Saccharomyces cerevisiae S288C: one gene and its partners. Changing the gene in region 3 together with the main gene of any one other region gives a genetic interaction. Each region holds a gene or a part of one and is shown on either strand. Other genes may lie near its edges.

The links.
Region 1: mutations in ETR1 (region 3) and ATP11 together harm fitness more than expected from each alone (negative genetic interaction), as found in Saccharomyces cerevisiae (2 studies listed by BioGRID).
Region 2: mutations in ETR1 (region 3) and STL1 together harm fitness more than expected from each alone (negative genetic interaction), as found in Saccharomyces cerevisiae (2 studies listed by BioGRID).
Region 4: mutations in ETR1 (region 3) and PTK1 together harm fitness less than expected from each alone (positive genetic interaction), as found in Saccharomyces cerevisiae (2 studies listed by BioGRID).

What each region holds. Positions count from the first base shown.
Region 1 is NC_001146.8:42,700-45,830, forward strand, and holds ATP11 (Atp11p), read right to left. Parts: upstream 1,582-3,131; coding exon 625-1,581; downstream 1-624. Other genes in the region: prephenate dehydratase PHA2, read right to left, coding at 1-376; DAL82 (Dal82p), read left to right, coding at 1,748-2,515; tetratricopeptide repeat-containing protein EMW1, read right to left, coding at 2,609-3,131.
Region 2 is NC_001136.10:1,506,200-1,510,355, forward strand, and holds STL1 (glucose-inactivated glycerol proton symporter STL1), read left to right. Parts: upstream 1-1,805; coding exon 1,806-3,515; downstream 3,516-4,156.
Region 3 is NC_001134.8:292,370-295,807, reverse strand, and holds ETR1 (enoyl-[acyl-carrier-protein] reductase), read left to right. Parts: upstream 1-1,788; coding exon 1,789-2,931; downstream 2,932-3,438. Other genes in the region: putative protein kinase YPK3, read left to right, coding at 1-1,383; YBR027C (uncharacterized protein), read left to right, coding at 1,452-1,784. UniProt on the Saccharomyces cerevisiae protein: Catalyzes the NADPH-dependent reduction of trans-2-enoyl thioesters in mitochondrial fatty acid synthesis (fatty acid synthesis type II).
Region 4 is NC_001143.9:67,620-71,841, reverse strand, and holds PTK1 (putative serine/threonine protein kinase PTK1), read left to right. Parts: upstream 1-1,621; coding exon 1,622-3,610; downstream 3,611-4,222. Other genes in the region: PEX1 (AAA family ATPase peroxin 1), read left to right, coding at 1-1,108. UniProt on the Saccharomyces cerevisiae protein: Essential determinant for low-affinity spermidine transport.

The DNA of each region.
Region 1 (3,131 bases), on a different chromosome or scaffold from region 3:
GGGATGCAATACCATTTGGTAGTTGGATTGGGCTGATTAGACAATGGGTAATGGGTACATATTGCTCCGCTATAACTTCTATATCTGGTGTAATTCTATTAGTATCTGCTGGAGCAGGTAAGGATAGGGCTTTTTTGATCATCCTATCACGCAAGAGATCATAGGAAAAAACTACTTGTCCATTGGTGGAATTTTCCAACGGTACCACTGAATAATCTATACTAGTGTCGTTCTCCAATTGGTTAAAACATTGGGGGATAGAGGCTGCTGGGAGGTACTCAACATCAGATGTTGATTGAAATTGTTGTAATGCAGCTTGATGGGAATACGTACCTTTGGGACCCAGAAAAAGAACCCTCAAAGTCTTGCTGGCCATAATTGAAGGATGAATGCGGAAATATAATGAAGTTGCTTTTCGTACTTTTTTAGCCTGTTCTTTCTGCGTATTATATTCATCTACTAAAATTTTTATTTTCATTTTTCATTATGAAAATACAAGAGTCATGCTGATAACTGTGTAAAGAAACTGTACGCTTGTCGCAGATGATGTAGTACGTATTTTATTTACAGGTGTCATTAATATATATATATATATATATATACGTATACGGAAGTAATTCTTCGTTAATTTTCCATGGACTGTGATAGCGAAATCAATTTCTCGACGGTGAATCCCGGAGAGGCCTTAGAGAAATCTCTTAACAACTGCACTCTCTGTTTAGCAACTGGAGTTTCTTCACCCATTGCACCATAAAACCTTTGCACGTTTAGCAATAACAGCTGTGCATCCTGTACATTCACGTTTGTATCCGGTTCAACATGGCCATTCATAAAAACAATTCCCTTATCCTTGACCAAATCAGAATGGAACTGCAAGGTAGTATGTGGCCTTGCAAATTCCTGGTGTAGTTTGTATTCTGCTAGGGAAGTCATCATACAATGTGTTGTTTGGGGTCCGACAAACTGCCATTGGATGTAGTGTAGTTCCATTCCCTGTTCTTCGTTCGGTTTTGCATCCTCAGATTGAACTTGTCTAGGAAGTGGCAACACGAATATAGGGTTATTCCTGGCATTTGCCATCATCTTATCATAAACGGAGACAGGAATCACAGCGCATAATGTATTATCTTTTTGTGCCCATCTTGCTCTCCAAAGAAACTCTACTTCCTGTTTCGATAAGTCCTTCAGTTTTCCAACATCCAAAAAAGAGTCCAATGTTTTGAAGGGAACTTTAGGAGCACTTGGATCGAGAGGACTTCTTGATTTCGTCATCAAATGCTTGGAGTTGTTATTTTCCATTTGAGTTTTTTGTTGGTAATCCTCTAGTTCTTTCAGGGGGTCGATTTTATTAAATTCCCGCTTCTTAGACTCTATAGTCTCTTTCAAATGATTTTTCAACTCTTCTATGCTGTTAAAACCTTGTTTTTGAGCCTCTTCCAAAAGTTTCTTTCTATACTTCTGCTCTGGGCTGGAAGAATAAAAACGAAAAACAGGAACTGTTCCAATTGCCTTGTTAAAAATGGGCGACAGCTGATTAGAAATATGGATTCTAGTGCCGATTTTTCTGGTTAGTCTCCACATAGTTATTCTTAAATCTCTTTTGTTCTCTATTTTCAAGTCTTGATAAGTTCTTCACATCCTTCGATTACGGCGTCAAAATAAGCGTTATTTCCATTCGGGTGAGTTGAACCATTGATAACAACATGGTTTAACGATACTTTGAAAGGTTTAGGCGGAGCCAACCATAATGGATGAATCGGTGGATCCTGTGGAGCTGCTTCTACGACTACTGATACGGCACAAACCTCATCTGAAACCATATGCCTACAGACAAGATAGCTGGCAAAGGGTGCTCGATGAGTACAACAGACAGACTGGGTCAAGATATAGACAATCAAGGACGTTAAAAACCAAATTTCGTCGACTGAAGGACCTCTTCAGCGCAGATCGAGCCCAATTCTCTCCTTCCCAGTTGAAGCTGATGGGAGCACTCTTGGACGAAGCACCAGAACATCCAAGACCAAGAACTAAATTCGGAAATGAATCATCTTCATCCTTATCATCATCTTCTTTCATTAAAAGTCATCCGGGGCCTGATCCGTTTCAACAATTATCATCCGCTGAACATCCGAATAACCACAGCTCCGACGATGAGCATTCAGGCTCACAACCGCTGCCCCTGGATTCAATAACGATTGGAATTCCGCCTACTCTTCACACAATCCCCATGATTCTGTCTAAGGATAACGACGTCGGGAAAGTCATCAAAAGCCCTAAGATAAACAAGGGTACAAATAGGTTCAGCGAGACAGTACTGCCTCCACAAATGGCTGCTGAGCAATCGTGGTCGGACTCTAATATGGAATTGGAAATATGTCTAGATTATCTTCACAACGAACTCGAGGTGATAAAGAAAAGGCAAGAAGATTTTGAGTGTAAAGTTTTAAACAAGCTCAACATAATTGAGGCTCTCCTTTCACAGATGAGACCACCCAGCCAAGGAGATAAAATATAAAAACTTCTATTAGATATGCTTGATTCATGTCCATATGTATCTATTTATACAAACATTACGTAATATACACAGATTATACATGAAAGGTGCTCTTCATATTTGGCTTCTTGCTTCCACTAGCCTATCCCAACCAGGAGAGTCATCCCATCTGCCTTTGCCTTTACTCATTAGAGCTTTGATAGTAGATCTACATTTGTATTTCCAGTCTTTGCAAACCAGACTGCCTGGCCCATATTTACCTTCCATTTCACCAAGTGATTCATAGGCAGCCACCAAATCTTCACAAGCATCCACTGTATCATTCCAAACCTTTTCTTCAACTTCTAAATCAGGATTGTGAGAAATGGCCCTATAAGCCTTCTCGTGGCATTCTAGGGCGGCCCATGGTCTCTTCCTCCAAAGTTCTACTCTTGCGACCAGTCGCCAACATCTTGCACTGGTTGTAATTACCTGAGGTAAAGTGTTACAGATAAACTCAGTACAGCTCTTTTGAAAATAAGATAATTGCTGCGGCTCCTCTGGATATTCACTAGTCACTAATAGTTCTACTAGTTTTTCAATAATTGGTAAGTCGATGGAACCTTCGCCAGATTTGTCCCTCCTAATACTGACTAAT
Region 2 (4,156 bases), on a different chromosome or scaffold from region 3:
ATCGAATATCTTGGAGGTCATATATGTTCATTCATCGGTGAGTGAGGATAATAGTGGCTTTTGTAAAAATTTTTATTATGGTGCTAATACACCATACTATTTCTGAGGCAACACCAAAGAAGGGTCCGAGAGTTCTTAGGCAGTAAAAAAGTTACACAGCCTCAGAAGACAGGGATCATGCAGTAAAAAAAAAAGCTCGATAATTTCATCGATCAATTGACCAGCCAATTTATTCTTATACCCTTATTTCTACCGATATAAACAGTTGGATAAACGGACAGGTTGAAGTGCAACGTTATTCAATGGTGACAGTTGCTTCTGGACTAAGAAAGGCTAGACCATGTGCCAGAAGTGCAGAAAAATGAAAGCAGAGAGCAAATAAAAAAACTCGACAAACATCGGAATATCAACCAGACAATAGCAAGTGGACACAATGAAATAAAAATCTCACAGGCAAAAACGCACTTAAGGTGACGTAGATGCGTCCATCATTTAAACACGATACCAACATTATCTGATGTTTCAATGTTGAAAACTGACATTCAAATATTCCGCAACCAGCGGACGAACTGAAGGAGCAGGCGACTACAATGCGCAGGGCGATTGGCGCGGTAACTTTGCCATGATCAAATATTTGTGTAGCGCTTTGTTCACTATCGAACTTTCTAAATGAGTTAAGGAAGAGAAGAAAAACAATATGATACCGCAAATACGTATTCTCACCTAAAATGGCAAGGCAAAGCTTCGCCGAGGAATTCAGCCCGAGAGTAGAAAATTTACTAATGTGGTCTCGCGTGTGAATCAGCAATGATTCTGAAATACTCCTTTTACAACCTTTGCAAAGATAATGTCTTTCAGTCTGATATTACGAGCGACCTAGAACCACTAATCCATATTCTTCATTCAACTTACTCCATTTTCCTTGGCAAACAATGCCCCACAATCATATACGTCATAACTATAAGGGATATGTCTGGAATGCGGCCAAGATAGAATTAAAGGGCTGCAGAACACCACTACTGATACTCATTGCCAAGGCTAGGAGGCACCATCCGTTTCATTTTCTTTGAGGTAAGCCAATCATGAAATAGTATACACATCCATAACGGACGTACGGACGAAATAAGTGCCGTTGTCCCACTATTCCACCGCATTTGGCCCATTTGGCTCACTTTGACTCAACTTGCGTCATTTTAACTGATATGAAGGGTCCGACTTTGTCCTTTTTCGGCCACCGCATACCCCACGGCGATGCCTCCGCTACCTGCATTTGAGTAGCATCTCCGTTTCGCGGGGTATTCGGCGCTACGTCGCCTGTTCGAGCGGCTCTGTTCGTTGCATGAAACTAAAATAAGCGGAAAGTGTCCAGCCATCCACTACGTCAGAAAGAAATAATGGTTGTACACTGTTTCTCGGCTATATACCGTTTTTGGTTGGTTAATCCTCGCCAGGTGCAGCTATTGCGCTTGGCTGCTTCGCGATAGTAGTAATCTGAGAAAGTGCAGATCCCGGTAAGGGAAACACTTTTGGTTCACCTTTGATAGGGCTTTCATTGGGGCATTCGTAACAAAAAGGAAGTAGATAGAGAAATTGAGAAAGCTTAAGTGAGATGTTTTAGCTTCAATTTTGTCCCCTTCAACGCTGCTTGGCCTTAGAGGGTCAGAATTGCAGTTCAGGAGTAGTCACACTCATAGTATATAAACAAGCCCTTTATTGATTTTGAATAATTATTTTGTATACGTGTTCTAGCATACAAGTTAGAATAAATAAAAAATAGAAAAATAGAACATAGAAAGTTTTAGACCATGAAGGATTTAAAATTATCGAATTTCAAAGGCAAATTTATAAGCAGAACCAGTCACTGGGGACTTACGGGTAAGAAGTTGCGGTATTTCATCACTATCGCATCTATGACGGGCTTCTCCCTGTTTGGATACGACCAAGGGTTGATGGCAAGTCTAATTACTGGTAAACAGTTCAACTATGAATTTCCAGCAACCAAAGAAAATGGCGATCATGACAGACACGCAACTGTAGTGCAGGGCGCTACAACCTCCTGTTATGAATTAGGTTGTTTCGCAGGTTCTCTATTCGTTATGTTCTGCGGTGAAAGAATTGGTAGAAAACCATTAATCCTGATGGGTTCCGTAATAACCATCATTGGTGCCGTTATTTCTACATGCGCATTTCGTGGTTACTGGGCATTAGGCCAGTTTATCATCGGAAGAGTCGTCACCGGTGTTGGAACAGGGTTGAATACATCTACTATTCCCGTTTGGCAATCAGAAATGTCAAAAGCTGAAAATAGAGGGTTGCTGGTCAATTTAGAAGGTTCCACAATTGCTTTTGGTACTATGATTGCTTATTGGATTGATTTTGGGTTGTCTTATACCAACAGTTCTGTTCAGTGGAGATTCCCCGTGTCAATGCAAATCGTTTTTGCTCTCTTCCTGCTTGCTTTCATGATTAAACTACCTGAATCGCCACGTTGGCTGATTTCTCAAAGTCGAACAGAAGAAGCTCGCTACTTGGTAGGAACACTAGACGACGCGGATCCAAATGATGAGGAAGTTATAACAGAAGTTGCTATGCTTCACGATGCTGTTAACAGGACCAAACACGAGAAACATTCACTGTCAAGTTTGTTCTCCAGAGGCAGGTCCCAAAATCTTCAGAGGGCTTTGATTGCAGCTTCAACGCAATTTTTCCAGCAATTTACTGGTTGTAACGCTGCCATATACTACTCTACTGTATTATTCAACAAAACAATTAAATTAGACTATAGATTATCAATGATCATAGGTGGGGTCTTCGCAACAATCTACGCCTTATCTACTATTGGTTCATTTTTTCTAATTGAAAAGCTAGGTAGACGTAAGCTGTTTTTATTAGGTGCCACAGGTCAAGCAGTTTCATTCACAATTACATTTGCATGCTTGGTCAAAGAAAATAAAGAAAACGCAAGAGGTGCTGCCGTCGGCTTATTTTTGTTCATTACATTCTTTGGTTTGTCTTTGCTATCATTACCATGGATATACCCACCAGAAATTGCATCAATGAAAGTTCGTGCATCAACAAACGCTTTCTCCACATGTACTAATTGGTTGTGTAACTTTGCGGTTGTCATGTTCACCCCAATATTTATTGGACAGTCCGGTTGGGGTTGCTACTTATTTTTTGCTGTTATGAATTATTTATACATTCCAGTTATCTTCTTTTTCTACCCTGAAACCGCCGGAAGAAGTTTGGAGGAAATCGACATCATCTTTGCTAAAGCATACGAGGATGGCACTCAACCATGGAGAGTTGCTAACCATTTGCCCAAGTTATCCCTACAAGAAGTCGAAGATCATGCCAATGCATTGGGCTCTTATGACGACGAAATGGAAAAAGAGGACTTTGGTGAAGATAGAGTAGAAGACACCTATAACCAAATTAACGGCGATAATTCGTCTAGTTCTTCAAACATCAAAAATGAAGATACAGTGAACGATAAAGCAAATTTTGAGGGTTGATTCACACACAACTCACAAATCATATTTTGTAATTTACTTAAGAAAGCATTTTGCGGGGTTTATATTTGTTCCTTGCCGCACCAATAATATTCATATATTACTACATAACTTTAGTATTTTAACACCAGACGATCTGTCTTTTGAGGAAATATGTCCACTTTCATTTTCTTCCGCTTGCCGGCAATGCCTATAAAAAGCTTATAAAATAGCCCGACTCCGTAGTCTTAATATTTATTTAAGTACAATAATAGTCCCACAAAAATTTTTAAAACATCTTTATTGATAACGTGGACGTGTTATTACATTGGAGCGAATGATGACGGAAGTAGGAAAATCTGAATACTAAGGTGAAGATATTTTAGCAGGGTGCCGCCATGGATGTTCTATGAATGTCTTCCTTCCTTTTCTCTCATGGGACACCGCAAAAACCTGTTCTACCATCATTTAACTGCAACATACAAAAAGCCACCAACTTTCGAACACTGCAAATGGTGCTATTCTCTTTTTGCGGTCTTGCCATGATATTCTTCTTGCAAAAAGGGTTTTAGAGCAAGATTTCAAATTAGCCATGAATATCATGCATCGCTTAGAGCAGTAAGATTTTACCAGAGCTTTACAGGACCTATTTTTCATACGTTATG
Region 3 (3,438 bases):
CATAGGATGAGAAGAAGGTCCTCAGCTTATTCCAAATTCCCTATTCTCACTCCACCAAATACGAGAAGATTTTCTATTACAGGTTCGGACGCAATGCGAACTAATACGAATAGACTATCCATAACACCTCAGGACATTATTTCCTCTAATATTGGAGAAAATGAATTATCAAGGAACCTGCACGATTTTAAGCCCGTGAGAGTCCTAGGCCAAGGTGCCTACGGTAAAGTTCTTCTTGTTAAGGACGTCAATACATCCAAGCTGTATGCTATGAAGCAATTACGGAAAGCAGAAATTTTAATTTCTCAAACAGCCACAGATTCCAAGAGAGAAGACGAAGATAAAAATGATGGTAATAACAACGATAATGACGATGGATTATCAAAGAGGCTTGAGAGAACATTTGCCGAACGGTCTATTCTATCTGAAATAGAACATCCAAACATTGTCAAGTTATTTTATTCTTTTCACGATAACTCAAAGTTATATTTACTGCTACAATATATCCCTGGCGGTGAACTATTTTACCACTTGAAGGAACACGGGACCCTAGATGAGACGACAGTTTCGTTTTACGCGGCAGAAATCAGCTGTGCCTTGAGATTTTTGCATACGAAAGGTGTTGTCTATAGAGATTTAAAACCTGAAAACTGTTTATTGAATCAACGTGGACATTTAGTATTGACAGATTTTGGTCTGAGTAAAAAAAGTGCTAATGATTCCGCGGTTGATGAGGAGGATCCAGAGAACGTCAATGCCCTATACTCGATTATCGGTACGCCTGAATACTGTGCGCCTGAAATATTATTAGGTAAAGCTTACAGTCAGAATTGTGATTGGTATTCTTTGGGATGTCTGTTGTATGACATGTTAGTAGGTAAGCCTCCATATACTGGTAGCAATCATAAGGTGATCATTAATAAGATTCAACAAAACAAGCAAGGCCCCAAAATTCCATTTTATCTGAGCGAGGGAATGAAAGATATATTAAACGCGCTGTTGAAGAAGGAAACTGCCAAAAGGTGGAATGTTGACAAATACTGGGCCAAAACCGGGGCTAATAATAAGCCTACTAAGTCTAAGAAGAAGAAATCAGGGGCTGCAAGAACTAGTCTTTTCACTGAACATTTTATCTTTAGAAAAATAGACTGGAAGTTATTAGAATCTGGACAATTGCAAAAAACCACTCTAGGCCCAATTGTTCCAGTTATTACGGATTTGGAACTAGCGGAAAATTTTGACACAGAATTTACTTCTATGTCATATGAGGAAACCTATACGGATAGCAAGCCGATTAATATCAATTCGGTGAGCAAGTCCCCGGATATGTTCAAGGGATTTAGTTATAAAGCAAGTGGTAGCTATTTGGAGAAGTACTTTTGAATTAAAAGTTAGATAGATTAAGAGAGAAGGCTCGGATCTGCACTGACTTACTTTTTTTTGTTTTTTTGATGTTTAAAGGATCTGTGTCACTGTATATACTTTGTTTTGCTTTAGGGTTACGAAACACATTTTTAATATATAATGTATGTAATAATATTAAAAACAACTGTATGGATAATACTTCTGGACCAATCGGTGATACCATCTTCCTTATTTATGGTATTATTATCATTATTGGACCCCGCCGGTGCTTTTTTTTTTACCTTAAAAGAGTGGTTCTCCTCCAAGGGACGCACGAGTGGTGTACCCAGGGGTTGTTTCCATGGCTAAAGAAATTGGAGATTACAAACGTACATTGTCATTTAAGAAGGTTCATAATCTGCCAATTACATTTGATATAACAAGATGCTTCCCACATTCAAACGTTACATGTCGTCCTCAGCTCATCAGATTCCCAAGCACTTCAAATCGCTCATCTATTCAACTCATGAAGTTGAGGATTGTACCAAGGTTTTGTCAGTGAAAAATTATACGCCTAAACAAGACTTATCTCAATCAATTGTGTTAAAAACTTTGGCCTTTCCCATAAACCCTTCGGATATCAATCAGTTGCAAGGAGTATACCCGTCTCGTCCAGAAAAGACATACGATTACTCCACAGATGAGCCAGCCGCTATCGCCGGTAATGAGGGTGTCTTTGAAGTTGTTTCTTTACCTTCGGGAAGTTCCAAGGGAGATTTGAAATTGGGTGACCGAGTTATCCCATTGCAGGCAAATCAAGGGACTTGGTCCAATTATAGAGTTTTCTCTAGTAGTTCTGATTTAATCAAGGTAAATGATTTGGATCTGTTTTCTGCGGCAACTGTATCTGTTAATGGTTGTACCGGTTTCCAATTAGTATCAGACTATATCGACTGGAACAGTAACGGTAATGAATGGATTATCCAAAATGCCGGTACATCTAGTGTATCAAAAATAGTTACGCAAGTAGCAAAAGCTAAAGGGATCAAAACATTAAGTGTTATACGTGACCGTGATAATTTTGATGAGGTAGCAAAAGTTTTGGAGGATAAGTATGGTGCTACGAAGGTTATTTCCGAATCGCAAAACAACGACAAGACTTTTGCCAAAGAAGTATTGTCCAAGATTTTGGGTGAAAATGCAAGGGTGAGGCTTGCCTTGAATTCTGTTGGAGGTAAATCCAGTGCATCAATAGCACGTAAGTTGGAAAATAATGCTTTGATGCTCACTTATGGAGGAATGTCAAAACAACCTGTAACTTTACCAACATCTCTACACATTTTCAAAGGCTTGACATCCAAAGGGTACTGGGTGACTGAAAAGAACAAAAAAAACCCCCAAAGCAAGATTGACACCATCAGTGATTTTATCAAAATGTATAATTATGGTCACATTATTTCACCAAGAGATGAAATTGAAACTCTTACCTGGAATACTAACACTACTACTGACGAACAGTTACTAGAACTAGTCAAAAAAGGTATAACTGGGAAGGGGAAGAAAAAAATGGTTGTTTTAGAATGGTAAGGGCCTTAGCATTGCTCAGAGTTAGACAACCACCAAAGATAGTATTCCTCTTTATGACATCGAGTATAGTTGCTATATAATATATACCAAGACATTAAAAAATATATGCCAGTGCTATCTTTGTAGGAGCTAATAAAAGGGGACGTCGACCCTTCAATGTATATATCGATCCTTTCACATTAGTCAGGACGAGATAATGAGCATGATGTATAAACAAACGGTAGTTAATACCAACGATAAGTTATACAACTACTGTACAATAAAAAAACATCACAATAGCAATACAGGAGTCCTATTCGCTACTTCAACTTGACAAGATCTACTAGATATAGAAATATCTAGCTTAATCAACAATTTTCCTCACTGATTGCTTCCTCCGAATGCCATTATTGGCTTTCTTGGTTCTTAAGCATGATATTACGTATAAATAGCCATTATATCAATTAGAACAAAAGATTACGTAAATGCAATTTTTCCTGAGAATGGCGTTCGAAGAAGGGCGCGTAA
Region 4 (4,222 bases), on a different chromosome or scaffold from region 3:
TAGTGCGTTTACACCATCTGCGTTGCGTGGAGTAAAGCTAACAAAAGAAACGAACATCAAATGGGGGGATATTGGTGCTTTAGCAAATGCCAAAGATGTCCTTCTAGAAACCTTAGAGTGGCCCACAAAATATGAGCCTATTTTCGTTAATTGTCCCCTAAGATTGAGATCAGGAATCTTGCTTTACGGTTATCCTGGTTGTGGTAAAACGCTTCTGGCGAGCGCCGTGGCACAACAATGTGGGTTAAACTTTATCTCCGTTAAGGGACCAGAGATTTTAAACAAGTTTATAGGTGCCAGCGAACAAAACATAAGAGAATTGTTTGAAAGGGCACAGTCCGTCAAACCCTGTATTCTATTTTTTGACGAGTTCGATTCTATTGCGCCAAAGAGAGGGCATGACTCCACTGGTGTCACAGACCGTGTAGTCAATCAATTATTGACCCAAATGGATGGTGCCGAGGGCCTTGATGGTGTATATATACTAGCAGCTACAAGTAGACCTGATTTGATTGATAGCGCATTGTTAAGACCGGGAAGATTAGACAAAAGTGTGATCTGTAATATACCGACTGAATCAGAGAGGTTAGATATCTTGCAAGCTATCGTCAATTCAAAAGACAAGGATACGGGACAAAAAAAATTTGCATTGGAGAAAAATGCAGACTTGAAGTTGATCGCTGAAAAGACAGCTGGTTTTTCGGGTGCTGATTTACAGGGGCTCTGCTACAATGCTTATTTGAAATCTGTACATAGGTGGCTGTCTGCTGCAGACCAATCGGAAGTGGTACCCGGCAATGATAATATAGAATACTTCAGTATCAATGAGCACGGGCGTAGAGAAGAAAATAGACTACGGCTAAAGACTCTATTGCAGCAAGATGTGGTGCACGAGACAAAGACAAGCACTTCAGCTGCTTCTGAGCTGACAGCTGTGGTCACAATAAACGATTTATTGGAAGCCTGTCAAGAGACAAAACCTAGTATTTCAACAAGTGAGTTGGTCAAATTAAGGGGGATTTACGATAGGTTCCAGAAGGATAGGAACGGTGAGATGCCCAATGGTGAGAATTCCATCGACATTGGTAGCCGACTCTCCCTTATGTGAAAAGGAAGAAGAAAAGAACAAAGCGCGTTTCCCTTTAAAGGGCAAAAAATGCGGCGCACGTTGCTTATTACGTGACATGACCCTATTGTATTGTGCGAGCACGCAGGACGGGAAAAATATTGGTGAAATTACATAACGCATTTTTTTTCCCTTGTGGTGAAAAGGAAAAACCCGAGAAATATGCCAGTAACAGTGGAGACCGGTCAAGATGTATTGAACGAAATCCGAAGTTGCATATATAACATAAATGCCTGCTACCTTTTGATACTTAATTCTTCTTAGCACCTATACGCTTTTTTTTTCATTTTTCCTTATCTTTTCTTTTTCTCGCAGAAGTCTATACAAAGAAGAAATATATATATATCTATTTCTTTTTTTTTTCAACCGTATACCACCGGCAACAAACCTCCATGTATTCATAGGCCCTGCATTACATCAAGAAATATTAGCATAAACGTATAGACCATTTTAACGCCACAGGCAAGCATACGCATTAAATCGCACCACCAACCAATGACAGTCTCACACAATCATTCTACGAAGATATCCCAACAACCAATCTCCTCGGTATCAGCATTTAAGTTCTTCGGAAAGAAGCTGTTAAGTTCAAGCCATGGGAACAAGTTGAAGAAAAAGGCGTCTCTACCTCCAGACTTCCACTCTACAAGTACTAATGACAGCGAATCCTCCAGCCCAAAACTGCCGAATTCGTTGAAAACCTCTCGCCGTGCAAACTCTTTCGCTCACACAACCAACAGCAAGAGATCTTTATCTTCCGCCTCAACCAAGATCCTACCTCCGGCCGGCTCCAGCACGTCCATCTCAAGAGGAAACAGACATTCGTCCACTTCGCGTAATCTCTCAAACTCCAAGTTCAGTAGCGAACGATTAGTGTACAATCCATACGGCGTCTCAACCCCAAGCACGTCACTCTCGTCCGTCTCTACCTCCATGAAGAAAGACCCTGATCTGGGCTTCTACCTTCACGATGGGGATTCCAAAATCCGCATGCTGCCGATCCCAATTGTGGACCCAAACGAGTATCTGCCCGACGAGATGAAGGAGGCAAGCATCCAGTTGAGCGATAACTTCGTCTTTGATGATGAGAATAAGACCATCGGATGGGGCGGTTCGTGCGAAGTGCGCAAGATCCGCTCCAAGTACCGCAAGAAGGACGTATTTGCTCTAAAGAAGCTCAATATGATCTATAATGAAACGCCCGAGAAATTCTACAAGCGCTGCTCAAAGGAGTTTATCATCGCAAAGCAGCTAAGTCATCATGTTCACATCACAAATACTTTCCTTCTAGTCAAGGTGCCCACCACCGTCTACACCACTCGCGGGTGGGGGTTCGTCATGGAGCTAGGTCTACGAGATTTGTTCGCGATGATACAAAAATCGGGCTGGCGCAGCGTGGCCCTAGCAGAAAAGTTTTGTATATTCAAACAGGTGGCGTGTGGTGTCAAGTTTTGCCACGATCAGGGCATCGCCCACCGTGATTTGAAACCGGAAAATGTACTGCTATCCCCGGACGGCGTGTGCAAGCTGACAGATTTTGGTATCTCAGACTGGTACCACACGGATCCACACGACCTGTCCAGCCCTGTCAAGAAGTGCGCAGGGATGATCGGCTCGCCGCCGTATGCTCCCCCGGAGGTCATGTTCTACGACTCCAAGAAGCACTACGATACGGAATTGCAACAGCCGTATGACCCACGCGCTCTAGACTGTTATGGCCTGGGTATTATCCTCATGACCCTCGTCAACAACGTCATTCCATTTTTGGAATCCTGCAGCTTCGACACTGGTTTCCGCGATTACTGTGACGCTTATGAAAACTTTATCCGTCTTCACGATCGCGCATTCCGCAATCGCGGCAATTACCGCCCGGGGCCGGGAATGGAGTATCACTTGGCTAGAAATTTCAAGAACGGACATGCATCTCGCGTGGCATGGCGGCTCGCTGACCCAGAAGCCGCCACCCGCTACACCATCGACGACCTCTTCGAAGACCCATGGTTCCAAGGAATTGAGACTTGTGTTGATGCCAACGACAAATATGTGTGTAAGAAACCTATTATCAAAACCACTACGTACGAGAATCCGCGGGGTTTCCATATCGCTACAGATGTTGCTGCAACCACACCCACCTCAAACCCATTCCTTAAGAACCGAGTCCCCATCAGGTCAATGGTAGATATAGCCGCCCATCCTTCCCCAACGGCCACGGTTTTAGCGTCGTCGCCTCCGCCGCCTCCTCCGGCGACTCATGTGCCAGCCGAGGCCTTATTTACACTTAGGGAAACCCCGCCGCCCCAGCTAGCAACCCTCACGCTTAGCGAAGAACCTCCCGCAACTCCCGCACCTTCCGCACCTTCCGCACCTTCCGCTCGCGTCCGTGGCCACTCCCCGCACAGGGTAGTGCATCACCATCTGAACATTGTCAACAGCTTGGTCCATAGTTCTAGCGCGGCGTCTTCTCAAGTTCCGGCTTCGACCTAGCCAGAATGTGCAGCAGAGTAAATAATATTCACTTCCCTGTTCCTAAAGCGTACAATATACAACTCCAACTTCATATCAACTACCAGAAACAGTAACATACGTAATAGTTATTTTCTATATTTTTATTTTTTTTTTGCCACTGACCAGTCTTCGCGGCGGTGTGAGTTTCCGTCTGTACGCAGCATTTAGCAGAGATTTGCCAATGCCAAGAAACTCCGCTAAACTAACATCGCGATGCAATGGGCTTGGTATTCCGTGGAAGAAAATGAAAACCGGCGCAAAGAATCCTCCGAGAAAATTTGATGCGGTGCACGGATTTCAGCACGGGTTTCAGCACGGATTTTATTTCTTTGCACCCCGCAAATTTCTGGGCGATGATAAACATACCGCATCTAAAACCGTATACAGACTACGGCACAGAAGCCAAGACTAACAAAAAAAAAAAAAAAAAAAAAAAAGAAAAAAGAAAAATGTCACGTGTTATTCCTTGTGCCCTCTGACCTACGTAGTTACTTGCGTGGCTTCAAATTTGATATCAGCTCTCGAGACGTCCTGATCTCTATACCTTATTGCTTGCTTTAGGTTGAGGCAATAAAGAAATAATTACATCTT